Nothobranchius furzeri: one gene and its partners. The protein of the gene in region 2 purifies or fractionates together with the protein of the main gene of each other region. This does not show direct contact. Links are inferred from orthologs where the notes say so. Each region holds a gene or a part of one and is shown on either strand. Other genes may lie near its edges.

The links.
Region 1: the proteins of med4 (region 2) and cdk19 purify together in Homo sapiens (affinity purification with mass spectrometry; 7 studies listed by BioGRID and IntAct, counting the BioPlex papers as one, with this or other methods). This does not show direct contact. The link is inferred for Nothobranchius furzeri from reciprocal best matches to the Homo sapiens genes MED4 and CDK19.
Region 3: the proteins of med4 (region 2) and polr2j purify together in Homo sapiens (affinity purification with mass spectrometry; 3 studies listed by BioGRID and IntAct, with this or other methods). This does not show direct contact. The link is inferred for Nothobranchius furzeri from reciprocal best matches to the Homo sapiens genes MED4 and POLR2J.

Annotation. Positions count from the first base shown.
Region 1 is NC_091742.1:28,595,922-28,601,555, forward strand, and holds the start of cdk19 (cyclin-dependent kinase 19), read right to left. Parts: upstream 3,411-5,634; 5' UTR 3,304-3,410; coding exon 3,301-3,303; intron 3,227-3,300; coding exon 3,081-3,226; intron 1-3,080. Other genes in the region: amd1 (S-adenosylmethionine decarboxylase proenzyme), read left to right, coding at 4,163-4,275.
Region 2 is NC_091754.1:35,365,374-35,371,013, forward strand, and holds the start of med4 (mediator of RNA polymerase II transcription subunit 4), read left to right. Parts: upstream 1-1,987; 5' UTR 1,988-2,054; coding exon 2,055-2,128; intron 2,129-2,376; coding exon 2,377-2,443; intron 2,444-5,186; coding exon 5,187-5,357; intron 5,358-5,640. UniProt on the Homo sapiens protein: Component of the Mediator complex, a coactivator involved in the regulated transcription of nearly all RNA polymerase II-dependent genes.
Region 3 is NC_091743.1:77,207,584-77,212,669, forward strand, and holds polr2j (DNA-directed RNA polymerase II subunit RPB11-a), read right to left. Parts: upstream 3,030-5,086; 5' UTR 2,812-3,029; coding exon 2,669-2,811; intron 2,118-2,668; coding exon 2,009-2,117; intron 1,275-2,008; coding exon 1,173-1,274; 3' UTR 1,111-1,172; downstream 1-1,110. Other genes in the region: deoxynucleotidyltransferase terminal-interacting protein 1, read left to right, coding at 46-106, 200-271, 445-500, 678-786; protein phosphatase 1 regulatory subunit 15B, read left to right, coding at 4,067-5,086. UniProt on the Homo sapiens protein: Core component of RNA polymerase II (Pol II), a DNA-dependent RNA polymerase which synthesizes mRNA precursors and many functional non-coding RNAs using the four ribonucleoside triphosphates as substrates.

The DNA.
Region 1 (5,634 bases), on a different chromosome or scaffold from region 2:
AACTTCTCGACAACTACTGCACTGCTCAAATTTTCTAATGACATCTATTCTGGTTTTGACAATAATTTATTTGGTGGTGCGATTTTTCTTGATTTAACAAAAGCCTTTGACCTCGTCAATCACTATCTACTTTTAGATAAATTATATGCTTTTGGTCTGTCAAGGCCGTCTCTACTGTGGTTTAGTTCTTTTCTTCATCATCGTTCTCAATTTGTTTCCTTTAATGGTTCTGAATCAAACATGCGTGGTGTCATCAGAGGTGTTCCCCAAGGCTCCTCACTTGGGCCATTATTATTTTCAATTTTTATTAATGATTTACCACAGTGCTGCAGATCCTGTTCTGTTCAGTTATATGCAGATGACACAGTCTTATACTGTTCTAAGTCGAGTTAATCCGAATTACAAGAAGCTATTCAGCCTAATTTTGACAAGGTGCAGCTCTGGCTAATGCAGAACAAACTTCTTTTAAATAAATCTAAGACTTACTCCATGCTGTTTCACAGAAGTAGAACTCTATCTGACAGTGACAGGACTCTTAATCTTTATTTTTTGGATTCCTCCCCGGTTCAACCGTCTGTTAAAATGAAATATTTAGGAGTTTGGCTAGAGCCAGAGCTGTCTTTTAAATTTCACATTCACACAACATGTCTTAAGGTCACACGGTGTTTACGTATCCTTTATAACTCAATAAATTGCTTTGAACCTATTGTTCGAAAGTGCATCGTCACTCAGCTTCTGTTACCGATCATTGATTATTCTGATATTTTATACCAAAACTCAACAGTTTCTAGCCTGCGGTCTCTTGATGTCGTCTATAACAGTTTGTGTCGTTTTATTTTGCGGTGTTCATTTAACACTCATCATTGTTATATGTATGATCTTCTTGGTTGGCTTCCTTTAAAAGCTAGACGACAATTTCATTGGTTGATATTTATGTTTAAGTGCATTTATTTTGATTTTCCACTTTATCTAAAAACACTTTTGGTTCCCATTGATTCCTTGTATTCAACCCGCTTAACTACTCTTCCATCATTTGTTGTTCCTCGTTTTAAAAAGGAGGTGGGTAGACTCGCCTTTTGTGTTAAAGCTCCTCAGGACTGGAATAAATTACCCGCTGAATTAAGATCCATCTCAACAATTCGTAAATTTTCCCGCACTGTTTATGCTTATGTAAAGCCAAGCTGTAGTTGCTTTGTTTAATCTTTACTATGATGATTTTGTGCATTCAATGGCTAACATGCTGTATTTCGTTGCCAAACTTTGTATTCAATTGGGATACTACTTCACTTTAGATTTATTTATAATGTAATTTCTTGCCCTTATTTCTCTTTTAGTGCCTCACAGCAGTTTTATTTAATTTAATTTGGTATATAGGTATGTATGTACGTATGTACACTTGTTGGTATCTATGTATCCTTGCTTATGTGTTTATATTTACGTGTGTATATATATACATTTATACATATCGTTGATTTTACTATTATTTACTTTCCCCTTTTTTTTTTTTATTTCTGTTACAACTTTCTAACTCTGCCACCTTATTTGTTATTGGTTGTGTTGTAGGAGGACCTGCTCGAAAACGAGATGTTACATCTCAAGCAGTTTATCCTCCTGAAAAAACATAAGTTAAATAAATAAATAAATAAATAAATAATGTTCTGATTTTACTGAAAAACTTGTTCTGTAACAGTTTCTTTACTATTGTGATCAAACATATTTAATCTCAGTTCTGAGGCTGCTCTGTAAATAGTTTTCAGATAAACAATACACACATAGCAACTTCTGATCAATCCATATCAATTTCAGATTTAAAATAATGTATTGATGTAAACAACACCCACTAATTTCCAAATAATAAATAAGAGGTGCATTCATCTGTGTGTCTCCTTTGATCCGCATTAGTGATGTTTCCAGCACCAGAACAATGAAGCAAAGAAACAAGATTCCTGAGTTTACGTTAGTAATTTTATTTATTAGGTGCATCTGACCTGTTCTAGTTTTCTCTGAAATGAGATCAGACCAGTGCTTCTATGGGTTGTCTCCTCTCTGCACTAGAAACATGTACTTTATTATAATGTTCACTGTAATGCATCTTGATGTTCTCAACAAATAAATTAAATCAAAGATATTGGTCAATAATGCCAAATATGTAAATTTGTGTTTCAGTCATTTTTATACTGGCTTAAAAATACTTCATTAAGTCTACTAAGCAGGGGTGTAGAAGGTGTTTAATAGGGCCAGCCCAGTAATGGTCTTGGACCAAAATAAAGGGGGCAGAAGGAGATGTTTTTCCAGACGAAAAATTAAATGCCACCCCCCCTCCCCCTGCAAAGTGTGTCACTGAGAGTTTAAAACTAAAATTATTCTTGTGCAAATATTGGTGTATTCACCTTTAATACTAGTTATTAAAATGCAGCAGTTGCTGGATTGGTGCAGTTCAGAGTGGAGGGCATCAAATAAAACAATATTAACATAAAGGTGAGACGTGTTATCCCCCCCCCCCCCCACCAGCTGGAAATGATATTTTGCTTTTATGCAGATCGGAGTAGAGCTTTGGCACACGAACATTCACCGGGACTGATAACAGAGCAGGTCCCTCAGCGGCCGGGCCAGCAGACAGGGACACACAGGTCCTGTCCCAGGGACAGAAGCCACAGGGACACAACCTGTCTACGGTCAAACCGGAGGAATCCCGCCGTTTTGTAAGCAGGGACACCGCGGTCCGGTGAACAGACACAGAGCTAACGTCAGAACACAAACATCTCTGGTGAAACGTGTTGGGACAGGAGCGCGGCTAGAGGTGTGTGTGTGTGTGTGTGTGTGTGTGTGTGTGTGTGTGTGTGTGTGTGTGTGTGTGTGTGTGTGTGTGTGTGTGTGTGTGTGTGTGTGTGTGTGTGTGTGTGTGTGTGTGTGTGTGTGTGTGTGTGTGTGTGTGTGTGTGTGTGTTAGATGAAAACAAAAACACAGACACACTCTGGAAGGTTCGGTCTGCCGCCCGTCCAACACCAGCGCGGCCCGTGTGAACCCAAACGCACCGTGAGACCGGCAGGGCGAACGGAACCGGACCTCGGTGGTCTTACCTGTCTTTGCGCTTAGCTTTATAAACGTGTCCGTAGGTGCCTCGACCCACTTTGCAACCTTCATATTCGAACAGATCTTCTACTCTCTCCCGCTCGGCTGCCAGCTTTGTTTTGAAGTCGTAATCCATGTTAACCCATAAAGACGACTTAAATTACAACAAAATAAAATATTAATTATTACACGCATTAATTAAATAATCTGCTCGTTTTATTCCCCCACCATTTCCTTGTTTGGGATTTTGGTCTGCTCCGCTGTGTTCACTGGATCGTTGACGCTTCTAATTGGGGCGCAGTGCTTGCTGGGTAATGGAGTCTTCTGAGCTCTCGTCGCGACTCACTAGCTGTGAAACTAGAATGAGAAAAACTACAACCCGCGTTTCCCGCTCCCTACGGGTCCGCATGAGTGCTCGGCTCGCTAGTGGTCCAGACTTCTGTGTTGGACGCTTTTGTTCCCGAGGTGAGCGGTTCAACAACATAGCCTGTGATCATATCTCCAGGTCATTTTTAGAACATACATTTTGGAAACACACTGCTGCTGTCCCAGACCACGTTGTCTTTTGGGGGATATAAATAACTATTTTTAATTATTTTGTCCAAGCTATGAAAACCAAATAACTCACAATAACAGCATTTAACGATGCAAACACGTGTGTTAACATTATATGAAGTTAATTCGCTTTCTGTCCTGTTTACACGGTCCTACCACGTTTATTTTCTTGTGGCAATAAAATGGCACGTGAGGAAAATCAGTCTCCAGTGCGATTGGAAGGTTCCTCAACAAATCACAATGGACAACCTCTACTCATACAAGCGGATTGGTCAATCCACTGTGACGTAAGTCTTGAGGCTATAAAAGAGCTGTCCGCGGCTCGTTCGGTGCTTACACAGTATGGCCGGCGATATTAGCTAGCGCTCGCTAACTGTATTCTCTGCAAAAGGGAACGCGGTAACTTAAGAAAATTAACATCAGAATTACTTTAATGACTGTACCTCAATAAATTATAGTCAATCGAGAAAGGATTTATTAACATACAAACGTTGCGAACAACGTTTACACCTTTTTGTTGGGCGTCTGTTGTCTCATGATGGAGGAAAACGGTGCACATTTCTTCGAAGGGACCGAGAAGCTGTTGGAGGTGTGGTTCTCTCGGCAGGATGAGACCAAGGGGACCGGGGACCTCCGCACCATCCCAAGGTTTGAGTCCTACTGGGTTGAGTTCATGTCTTTCCGTGCATGCGAGCGTAATTTCGCGGTAACAGCGGCTGAGTCCATCATGGCTTCGCGGTTTAGTGTTAAATAACCAAATAAGCGTTCAGAAATGTTGTTTTCCTGTTGGTTTCCCCTCAGCAGCTTAGCGAACCTGTCTGTGGCCTAGCCGTCACCCACCAATCTGGCTAGCAACGTGAGCGAAAATGGCCTCCTCCCCTTTTAAAGTGTGGCTCTGTTGAGCTGAGTCATTCATTCTGAGGCTGTGGGCTGTGACCAGTACAGCGATCGTGCTGCTGCTGGACCCGTCAGCTACAACCGGGCAGCAGGCTGGCCTGCACACGGCTGCTTCGGGAACAGAAGGTAGAAACCCTCTGTTCTGTCTCGCTGGACGGTCCCGGGTGCGGTTTGTAAGTGTTGTATTAGCTTAGCTGTAGAAGTGGGGTGGGCTTGGAGTGTTTTGTTAGCGGGACCGATGGTGAGGCCCAGTTTCTCGTGATGCGGTTCTCTGGGTTTAATACGACAGACACGATGGAAATTCTGCTGATCTCCGGAGAATGCAGCGATTTTACTCTGCGCCACTCCGCTGGGGGTCTGAGGAGCATGTGGCCCCCGCCCGGCTGCCGCAGCCACCGGAGGCGCCAGATAACGGATCCGGTTATAATGAGGGAAACAGGTGGGTGTCCGGAGGAAAACGGAACTAAAGACTGATCCGGTTCGCTTCTTGGGAACACAAACAGGGTCCCATGACGGTCCAGACACCTTTATCCATTTTGTTAGTGCCGACCCAAAGTTCTGCTGTTGGAGGGAGCCCGGTCACATTTCTGATTACATGGGAAGTCCCCTCCCATCGCCTCTGATTGGTTGAGGGCTCCACCTATCAGATGGGTCGGAACCTCCTGCTGCCTTCACACACACACAGGAGAATGGGAAGGGAGGGTTGAAAATGTTCGTGACCTTTGCCCCCAAATCTGTCTGACACGTGCCTCGGAGGATTGTAGAAATCTGAGTAAAATTATCATTAGTGCTGTTTTACTTCCAAGTGACGATTTTAACAATGGAGTGTACCATTCAGAGTCCCAGCAGCGCCTGGCCGTCCCTTCTCCGGACTAAAAGTGTCCTGCACAAACCTCTAACCCTGGTGGGTTTTTATAGAAGCTGAACAACTGTTCAGATCATTAGCTAATAAAGATAAATGGTGGCGTGGCCGTTAGGGTGAGTGGTGGTGACTGGCATTGATTTACGGCCAGAGGGCAGATTACCAGCATACACGGGGACTGTGAGTGCATTGGGTCTGCTGGATGTCAGCCAGTGTCCAAATAAGTCCACAAGGGCATCTGATTCACA
Region 2 (5,640 bases):
GAGGTGTGACACAGGGAGGTGGGAGACAGTGAGGTGTGAGACAGCAGTGAGGTGTGAGACAGTGAGTTGTGAGACAGCAGTGAGGCAACACAGTGAGCTGTGAGACAGTGAGGTGTGAGACAGCTGTGAGGCAACACAGTGAGCTGTGAGAAAGTGGGGTGTGAGACAGCGAGGTGTGAGAAAGTAGGTGTGACAGTGAGGTGTGAGGCAGTGAGGTGTGAGACAGCAGTGAGCTGTGAGACAGTGAGGTGTGAGACAGCAGTGAGCTGTGAGACAGTGAGGTGTTTTTATTTTTCAAGCAAGGGAAGGGAATGATCTGAGCATACAGGAGGACTGACCCATCATAAACCTTTGTCGGCTGTGCTGAAGAGAAAGGTACAGAACCAAATTATTTTATTAATTAGCTGCGCGTTCTCCTGTCCTCTATCCTCGGGGCCACGCACACACACACACACACACACACACACACACACACACACACACACACACACACACACACACACACACACACACACACACACACACACACACACACACACACACACACACACACAAATGGGACTGTCTCAGCTGTTATTTTTGTTAAGGAGTGCACACGTACAGCATGCGCGCCTCGTGCATGAGCCTACTATTGAAGCTGACATTATGCTTTTGGCCTGAGGGGGCAATCGCGAGCATAAAAATTCAAAACTCTGTAAAGTCCCTTCAATAATAATCAAAATAAAGTTATTCAAAATAGTTTCATTAGGTCTTGAGTAAATTGCTCATAATTAATGATTCAGCTTATTTGCGCATTTGTAATGACTAAACATAATGTTGGTAAAATGCTTTATTAAAACTGCTATTATACATGTTGTACAAATTTGGTGTTCATTTTTTCACAATTAACACACTATTATCTACTGTGTTTGACCATACAGTTTTATTGAACTTTTCTTTTTAATTAGTAGCTATAGTAGCCAGATAAACTGGGTTATAGATGCATGCATGGACGTGATTTTGGGAGGGGAATGGGGGGACATGTCCCTGACATGTTCCCCCCACTTTTTCCAAAATCAAGTTTTGACCCCTGTACTTTTTACCATCCAAAAACAATATTACGCTATATTAAATTGACACTGGTTGAGCTCTAACACCAAGCGGAAAACAGCCGTTTGTGTTGAAACCTGTTTCCCATTACAGCATACTGTAAAGATCCCCCCCCCCGTGTCCCCCCCCCCCCACTTCTCAAGTGAAAATTACATCCATGGATGCATGTACTGTCTTCACATAAAAATATAAAGTAATGACTGTAAAATGTATTCTACTGAACATAATAGATCATCATTCAAAACATAAACAGCTACATATTTCTTCAAGGTAAGCTGGAGCAGAATTCTAGCTTTCAATAAACCACTTTAAAATGGATATTACAACTCGAGTTTAGGGCTTCTTGTAGGACTTAAAGTTATTAAATATGCTTTTAGTAGAGCAGTGTGTACACTACATCAAATTTATTTCTATAACATATTACAGTAATGTATGTGGTCTAAATGTGTTAGGACTGTTGTATTCCTGTAACGTAGAACAGTCAAGGGTGTCGGTCTTCCTACAAATGCTTGGAAAAATATAAATAGGCTCCTTTGTGAAGGAATTAGGACATAATATATAATCCATCCAACCATTGTCCGAACCCACTTTGTCCGGGGGGGGGGGGGGGGGGGGGGGGGGGCAATAGGCAATCAGGCGGTGGACACCCTGGACAGAGAGCCAGTCCATCGCAGTATATAATATAATATATATAATATTATATATTATTATATTATTATATAATACTGTATATCAAATACAGGCCATATTCAATAATTACCTAAAATCACCAGGGGCAATGTGACTATATTCAGTTTTTGTGATTTGCCCACCGTACACCGTTCAAACTGACGTACGGCGCTGGGATGTTTGGAACTATTGAGAGCTCCCTGAACCACGTGGCCGCAGTGTCGCAACTCTGGCTCTAATTTCACAACAGGAAACGGAACGAGACGTAACATCCGGTCCGACCGCGCGATCCGAAAATGGCGGCCGTGGCGGAGAAATCAACGAAAGAAAGACTTTTGTCTGTGTTGGACGACTTGGAGGTTTTATCACGGTAAAATTAAAAATAATTAGAACGTTCTTGTTTATTTATTTAATATTTTAAGCTGATGTCATTTTATTATCGATCACGTTATTCAGCTGTTGGCATCGGTTCCGATCTAGAGTTCCTGGTGATTACTCTGAAAGTAAAAGATGGTTCAGTGTTTCTGGGTCTTTTGCAACCTTTATTATAACGGGCAACATATAACCCTTCTCTTTATGTGTGTGTGTGTGTCTGTCTGTCTGTCTGTGTATTTTCAGGGAGTTGATCGAGATGTTGGCTCTGTCCAGATCTCAGAAGCTACCTCAGCCCGGAGACGACACGCAGGTAACGGTCAGGAGCAGGTCTGGAGTCAGATCCAAGGCTGTTGGATTACACTCTCGATGCTTTATAACTTTGACACAGAGCTGCTACGTAGTACTCTACTGGTTTACGTAGTATCTTTCTCTTCAGCCATTGGCTAAAGTGTATTCAAAATGTCTCAAACTCTATGTTTTAAGCTGAAGGTGGCGCTATACTGTGGTATTTAGGCAGAATTTTTAAGTTTTAAAGAAAATGCACCAAAATGCTAAAATAATGAATACACACATTTAAAACACTATTAGACACTCATTTATACAGTTCATCAGCAAAAAAAAAAGTCAGCAAAAAAAAAGTTAATTTAGACGATACTTGCTCTTTAAATATCAGAGTCCAGCAGTTACAGATACATTTCTGTGTTGATTAGAACACGGGCAGAGCCTAAGCTCAGTTTACGTGCTCAATCCTGAATGTTTCCCGTATTTCGGGGAATATTTAATTTTCTTTAATTCCATCTCTGTGGTGCTATGGCAACATATTATGTTGAAAATTGGAACAAAACCGGTTCCATAGCATTTATGTCCTGTTTGATCTGATCATAAATAGTTCATCATACACCACTCCTATGTAGGGTTGTCACGGTGTGAAAATTTAACCTCACGGTTATTGTGACCAAAATTATCACGGTTTTCGGTATTATCGCGGTATTTTTTTAAACGTGCTACATTTTCAGACAACTAAATAAACCCTGTATGTCAGGAAATATTGTCCTCAGTTTGTGTCTAAATTTTGTCTAAAATGTGTTATTGTGTAATTATGTTGTTTATTTGTTTACATTTTTCCTCTTTAGTCTTTAAAGTATCAATATTTGCCCATAACTTCTTATTTGTTGTCTGTTTGATGTCATTATTTAAAAAATATTAGATCAGATGATACTCAGCACTCAAGTAGCCTTCTAATCAGATATTTTTTACCCTTACTTGAGTAATAAACCCTATATCAGGAAAATATTGTCCTCAGTTTGTGTCCTTCCAGTGAGCTTTGCAGATGTGGGAAAATGTCATCAAGCAGTAATCATTGTTAAATTCATAATTATTCTCGGAGAGAGACCAACTCTTATCTGTCCCTGGGAGCCCCGTAATGCATAGCGTCATTTCAACATGGGGGTGTCCGCGTCGACACGGTTTATATGCAGGTAGCGGCGCTGCGGCTGCTTTATATAGCGACTCGTTGCATTCTCCCTCAACCCAAATCCTCGGATCACACATTTTAGCTAAAACGCTAACGTTAGCTTGCCTTGCGTTGACTGTAGAGTTGTGGGTGATGGTCACGCAGATGTGTCATGAGATTTGAAGCGTTGCTGCCTTTCACAGACACTTTTTCTGCACGTGCTGCAAACAGGATAGTCGTCTTCTATCAACTCCCTCGGCATTCTTCAAATATCCAAAAGATGCCCGTACTTCCCCCTTTGTCTTCTTTGAGGGATAATAAATGTCCTGAGCGCTGCCGTCTCCTCCTTTGGCCATTATTTCAGCTTTAGCTTCAAGAAAGTTTTGGTTGTAAACAACAAAGCGCGCATGTGCCGCCGGCAACTTCAGCAGATGATACGGTGGCTGGTAAGGGTCACCGCAGCCACTGTAATCACCGAGATAATATAGTTTTTTTAAAAACAAGGCGGTTATTATTATTGTCAACTTTTTTCCCCAGAGTTCACTGCTACACCGGTTACCATGACAACCCTACTTCTATGTAAAGTATTTTAATATAAGTTTCAGTGGGTGCGCTGGCAGAAAGTCTTACCCTCCAGTCAGAACCTAAAACAACACCAGTAGGCAGAAATGATCAAAAATACCCGTTATTAGCACAACTGAATAATAAAACACCACGGGCGAGTTCCGCTGTGGAACTCGTCGGCTACTGCCTCTTGTCCCTTTAAGACAAAACCAGCTGTTCAGCATAAGTAAAATCAAACAATCAGGTACTTAGCTGGCCCAGTCGATGCGACCCCCTCCCCGGGGTCTGAGCTTCCAACACCGTCCAACGCCCCGGGGTTCAGCTTGCGTGGACGGCAGGTGAGTCCATGGCTCGGGTCCGGCTGCCAGAGTTTGCTGTGGCAGATGTCGGCGTGGTCTCGGCACCCAAATACTCCCAGCCCTCGCTACCTAAAGAAGGCGTCAAGCCTCCCGTCCTAGCACTGGAACACTGCCCACCTACTCAGCTGTCTTCATCGCCGGCAGTCCTAACCAACTGCGAACGATCCCACCCCCCAGAACCGGGTGTCACAATGACAGGTCGACCATACACACACACACCTTGGTAGATCTGCCACCCTTTTATCATCTCCGGCCTCATCACACCTGACAAGCACCAGCCGGCGTCTAGTTGCCACGCCCCCAGAATCTGGCAAATCCCATCTTCTGCCTTTCACAGTATGTTCAGGTACCCTCAGGAGACACTTTTTACTTCTCCGTGCAGATTTGATGTTATATTCCTCATAATGAGATGATGTTTGATTTCTGTATTGGTTTTATTTGACGTTGTTGTATTTTTGGCATTTTTTTTCTGCTGCCTTTTCATTTTTGAGTGTTTACATTTCAACTACTACCTATTATTGTTATTGTTGGAATCACTTTTCCTGGAAGATCTGAGGTACACTGGTGTCTATAATGATGCAGCAAAGTCTGCTGATTAGACATGCCATGGCTGTTAACTGGTTATCCTTTGAATATGAATTTGGATGTAACATTTGCAATCTGTTTTTCCCATCTAGATCATTGATCTGCTGGTGCAGAGGGACACGGAGTTCCAGGAGCTGATGGAGGTGGCCCAGCAGCAGGGGAAGGTTCACCAGGAGATGCAGCTGCTGGAGAAGGAGGTGGAGAAAAGAGACAGCGACATCCAGCAGCTCCAGAAGCAGCTGAAGGAGGCCGAACACATACTAGTAGGTTTGTTGTAGGAATTGCAATGCGGTGATATGATTTAGCACCATCTGTATGAGCTGCATTCCATTCCTGCAGCTGTGTGCTGCTGCTTGTTTGTAAACTGCTTAAAGACTGAACTTTTACAATAGCTGATGGGAATTTACAAACCAAACAAAAGCATGAAGCTGTCATGGAGAAGGGTGGAGCAGCTGCTGCTTCAGAGTGGGTTTGTGTGAAGTCTCCACCAACGCTGCTGGTTTTGGTCAACATGAATAATTAGTAGAAACTCACAAACACATCATT
Region 3 (5,086 bases), on a different chromosome or scaffold from region 2:
AGCCTCAAAAGAAGTGAGTCATCAGCTGCTGTGATGTCATCACAGGGCACTAGGGATGGGTGGGACCAGAGGACGGATCTATATTAAACACGCTGACCTGTTCAAGGTAACTCCTGACATCAGGTGTCTGCTGGACCTAGTAAGGGTCAGGGGACTGTTTCCTGTGATTAGTAAAAAAAAAAAAGTGTGTGTGTTTCAGTATGCAGCAGATTCTAAGGATAAGCAGTGGTTGGCAGAGAGACATCACATGAGGGCAACAGGAGGAAAGATGGTGAGAATCTGCACACGCACGTCAGTCAAATGGCCACACCCACTTTTAGCTGCTGACCTGATCACTGCAGGTGATCGCCTGAATCAGTCATCAGATGAAGTTTGTGTGGCAGTGCATCATGGGTAGTTTAAAACCTATTTAACAATTGTGTGTGTGTGTGTGCATACCGGCAGGCTTACCTTCTGATTGAAGAGGACATCCAGGATTTGTCTCACAGCGATGAGTACAAGTTAGTATCCAACCTGAAACACAAACTTCTGGATCCAGCTGCAGAAAACAGTTTAATCACTAGAACAGAACCAGCTACCAGTTTTATTGACCTTATTCTAGCATTTGTTGTTCTGATGATGTAGTTGATAGCTGGTGAGATGTGTGTGGTTGCCGTGGTAACTTGCATCCCTTTTAGGGACTGTCCGGATGTCAGGATGGACGAGTTGAAGCCGTTCTCCGTTCCTCCGTGGATGGTGGAGAAGATGCAGCGAGCCATGGAGGCTCAGAGAGACTCTGACCCCTGATGGTCACATGATCAGGGGCCACACGGCATGTGACATCACAAAATCAGATTTTTTTTATTTTTTACTGCTTTTCTTTTAAAAGAATATTCAATTAAATCTGATTGACAACTATTTTGTTTTGTTTGATATAGTTTAAATTCTTAGAGGTGACATCACTTCCTGAAGATCAGCTGATCAATGCTAGAATTAACAGGTGAAGATTTCCATACCAGCTGTTCCTTTGGACATCTGAGTGGGATCAGATCTAGTTCCAAACCCTATTTTTAATAGTGTTTGGCAATTTTGTCGAAATACTTGTAAAAGGTATTGACTAAACACAGAATCTGACATCTTAAGTTTATTTAGAAAAACAAAACAACAAAATGAGGTGAGGTCAGAGGTCAGGGTCACTCGATGCCTTCCTGTTTGTCTTTGATGGCAACTCTGAAGCGTTCTTCCAGCAGAGACAGCTCACTGATCAGATCTGTGATGGCATTGGTGAATGCTTCCTGTGGAGGAAATGACATCACATTTGGTTAGGTTTCCAATTTCTATCATTATTGTGTCTCAACCAATCAAGACACAAAACATATGAGAAACAAATCCAGACCCACTTGGGTCCAACAGCATCATGAGGCTTAGACCACCAACATGTATAAAGACCAGCTGGAGGACAGTGCAGAAGTTGAAGCTGAAAGATCTGAAAAGCCTCCAGAGGCTGGCTCCAGTAGAGGTTTTATGCCCCAACCCCTCTATCTAAACCAATGAGAAATGATCTTGTTTAAGAACACAGCTTACACCATCTTGACTCCTGTTGGTTTGCGTCCTGCCGGCAATGCGGACCAAAGCTCCGACACCGGTCATACAGGGACCTAACAGCCCGTGTCAGAGGGCCTGGTACCCCATGCTCCTGGACTACCCCCCACAGGGCCCCCTGAGGAACACAGTCGAACACCTTCTCCAAATCCACAAACACATTTAGATTGGCTGGGTGAACTCTAACGCACCCTCCAGGACCCCCCTAAGGGTACAAAGCTGGCCCAGTGTTCCACGATCAGGATGAAAACCACATTCGTCCTCCTGAATCTGAGGTTCGACAATACGACGGACCCTAAATAAAATATATATATAAAAAAAAAAATATATATATATATATATATGCATGCACACATTCCTTCACTTCTCTGGTGAAGTCCCTACAGCCATCTTTACTTTATTTGGTGTTGAAGACCTGATGGGTTACCTGTGGACTGTAGTCAGGTGTGGTCTGCACTCGGATGACGATCTTGTGCTCAAGAGGATGAGGAACTTTGTAACCCGCGAACAGAACCTGAGGATCCTTCAGCAGCTGACTGACACACAAAAACACACAATTAGGGGCCACCAGACAGGACACCTGTGTCAGAGCTCCTCCCACAGGCGAAGGCCGGCTGCTGTCAGGTTTTTTTTTCTTTCCAATATCAAATTGTGTCCTTGAGCTCAGATGATGTTCTCCAGTGTGTGTGTGTGTGTGTTTTACGTCCAGATGATGTGCCCCAGTGTGTGTGTGTCTTACGCCCAGATGATGTTCCCCAGTGCGTGTGTCTTACGCCCGGATGATGTTCCCCAGTGTGTGTGTGTGTGTGTGTGTGTGTGTGCGTGTCTTACGCCCGGATGATGTTCCCCTGTGTGTGTGTGTGTGTGTGTGTGTGCGTGCGTGCGTGTGTGTGTGTGTGTGTGTGTGTGTGTGTGTGTGTGTGTGTGTGTGTGTGTGTGTGTGTGTGTCTTACGCTCAGATGATGTTCCCCTGTGTGTGTGTGTGTTTTACGCTCGGATGATGTTCCTCAGTGTGTGTGTGTATGTGTGTGTGTGTTTTACGCTCGGATGATGTTCCTCAGAGTGTGTGTGTGTGTGTGTGTCTTACGCTCGGATGATGTTCCCCAGTGTGTGGTCTTCCTTGTTCAGAGTGAACAAACACGCGTTCGGGACCTTGGTATCTTTACTGATGCCGATCTTTTTCTCTCCTTCAAAGAGCAGAAACGACTCGAAGGCTGGAGGTGCGTTCATGTTTGTGCTGGAGCAAAGAACCCCGAACCGAACCACTAGGATACTTCCGCTCAGCTTTCTTTGTCTGGTTTAAAGACTGTTAGGAAATCAGCTTTGTGTGGCATTACCGCCACCTGCAGCACGATAAGCGAAACTGCATATTTAAATCAATAATAGAAATTTGCAGCACGTAGAAAATGTTTACTTTCACAATATTAGGATAATACATGTTTGACCTAAACACGGTTCATGTAAAATTTGCAGCATTTTTTTGTTTAATAAAAGCTAGGACCTGAACAAAATACATCAAACACAGTTCATTTTAACCAGAAACACACGTTTCAGTGTCACTCTCTGCTTTTCTGCAATTTACCAGGTGATTAGCCAAAACGCTGCCCATGGCACCCCTGATGGTACCAGATGTCACCTTAAGGTGGTGTTACCATCTGGTCTCCTCAATGCACCCATGACTCAGAGGAGCTATACCTTTACAGCGTGTGACGCCATGTCCTATTTTTTCCTCCTATAGCATAAATAATTACTTTATATTAATGAGATTCGTGTAGGAGTGCATCGAGAGTAAAATAAAAAATGGCTCCCTCTGAAAAAGAACTGGAGAAACTTTCCGCGCCTCCGCTTCTGCCGCGCGTTCGTGCCGCTCCGTGCCGCGCCGCCAACCGTCTGCCGTTTACCCGGAAAAGGAAGACGCGGGGCTTCTGCTGATGGTCTTCTGACTTTCTGATGAAATCTCCCACTGCAGCCATATAGACAGACTCACGGAGTTGTGCGGGGGCCAAAACTCCTCTCTGAACGGATACCGGGCAGTATTACCGGTGGGAAGAACTCCCTTCCATCAACAGTCGACGAAACCAACCAGAAAGCGGAATTTAAATCGATAATTTTAAGTCGTCGCTGGGAAGTAAACTAACCGCCGTTTGCTTCTCGTGCTAAGCTAACCTGCTAACCCAGCAGAACCTCCCACCCGCGATAAGCCCCGACAGGATGGCTCGTTTTTCCGCTTCACATTGGGACTTATCATCGTTTCACGGCTCTAGCATGTTCAGCTCGGCTCAGTTTTCCAGCTCCGGTACCACACGGAGGAAGTCTAACCACCACTCTCAGCGGAATGTCGCCGGCTCCGGGCTTATGGACGTTATCTTTTGGGTTCCTGGCGGCCACTTTAACATGTTCTAGTGAGGTTTGACAGCTGTCAGTGTAACTTGCTAAAACCGCTGCTGTTTCAGGGAAATTCATTTGTGCACTTTAAGTAGATAAAATGTTCAGAAACATAAACGCCGAAGAATGTACGTGTGGAGGAAAACGCTCGTCCCACCCACCCGGCCCCGCGGTCACATCGGTCGGACAGGATAGCCAGGACAGCTCGTGGATCCGTCTGCTGTCAAGGCCCGCGCTGTTGCTGCGGCGGAAACTCCGCCAGTGGAACATCGCTCCGGCGGAGCTCAGAAGCAGCTTGATGAGTGAAGAAAGTGAGACTTTAAGACAGTTAAATGGCATGATGCCCCTCAGCCAGTCCGCACCTGCTCACCTGACCCACCTGCAGTGTCAGCACGAGGGGGCAACCGGCCTGCTGGAGTCATGGGTCAGCAGGTCCGCTGCGTCTCTGCGGGACTGTCAGAGCCCCGGGGAGATGGAGCTCTGCCAGCAAATACCGAGCGTATATGTTTCCTCTGTCGGGACTTTTTTTACCCAGGTTCAGTTGATCTCTCAGGAACACATCGGAGGAAAGGTGTGTGTGCCAGGGAGCTTCCCGGTAATGGGGGGCTCCACAGGTAAAGGTGGACCATGGTGGAGGGGTAGCATTCTGTGGGGCGAGGAGAGCCCAGCCAGGGGGCTGCTGTCGGGATATTACCGGCCTGAGGAGGGGGCAGAGACATACTATCTTTGTCCTCAGGCTGCAGCCCAGACACATGTTGCTGAAAAGAGCTCAGTGTTGGAGGTGACGAAGGGAGAAAACGCTGGACCCCCCCACCACAAAGAACCAGCCAACAATGGAGGCCTTCATACAGTCCAGAACATAGGGAGCTGCAGTGAGGGGGGGCATCCCTCCCCTGAGCAGGACAATGGGTACTTCAGCCTGGAAGAGGAGCTCTCACAGAGGGGCCTCCTCTCCCAGGTGAAAGCACCCACTGAGGAACAGAACCGAGAGGACCCCCGCACACCTGAGATGGAGGCGGAACCTCAAGAAGAACAAGCCACCTCTAATGTGGATAACTGTGGAGGGGTCATGATGCTTTCAGCTCCCCAGTGTCAAAACAAATCCATTGCTTTCATTATA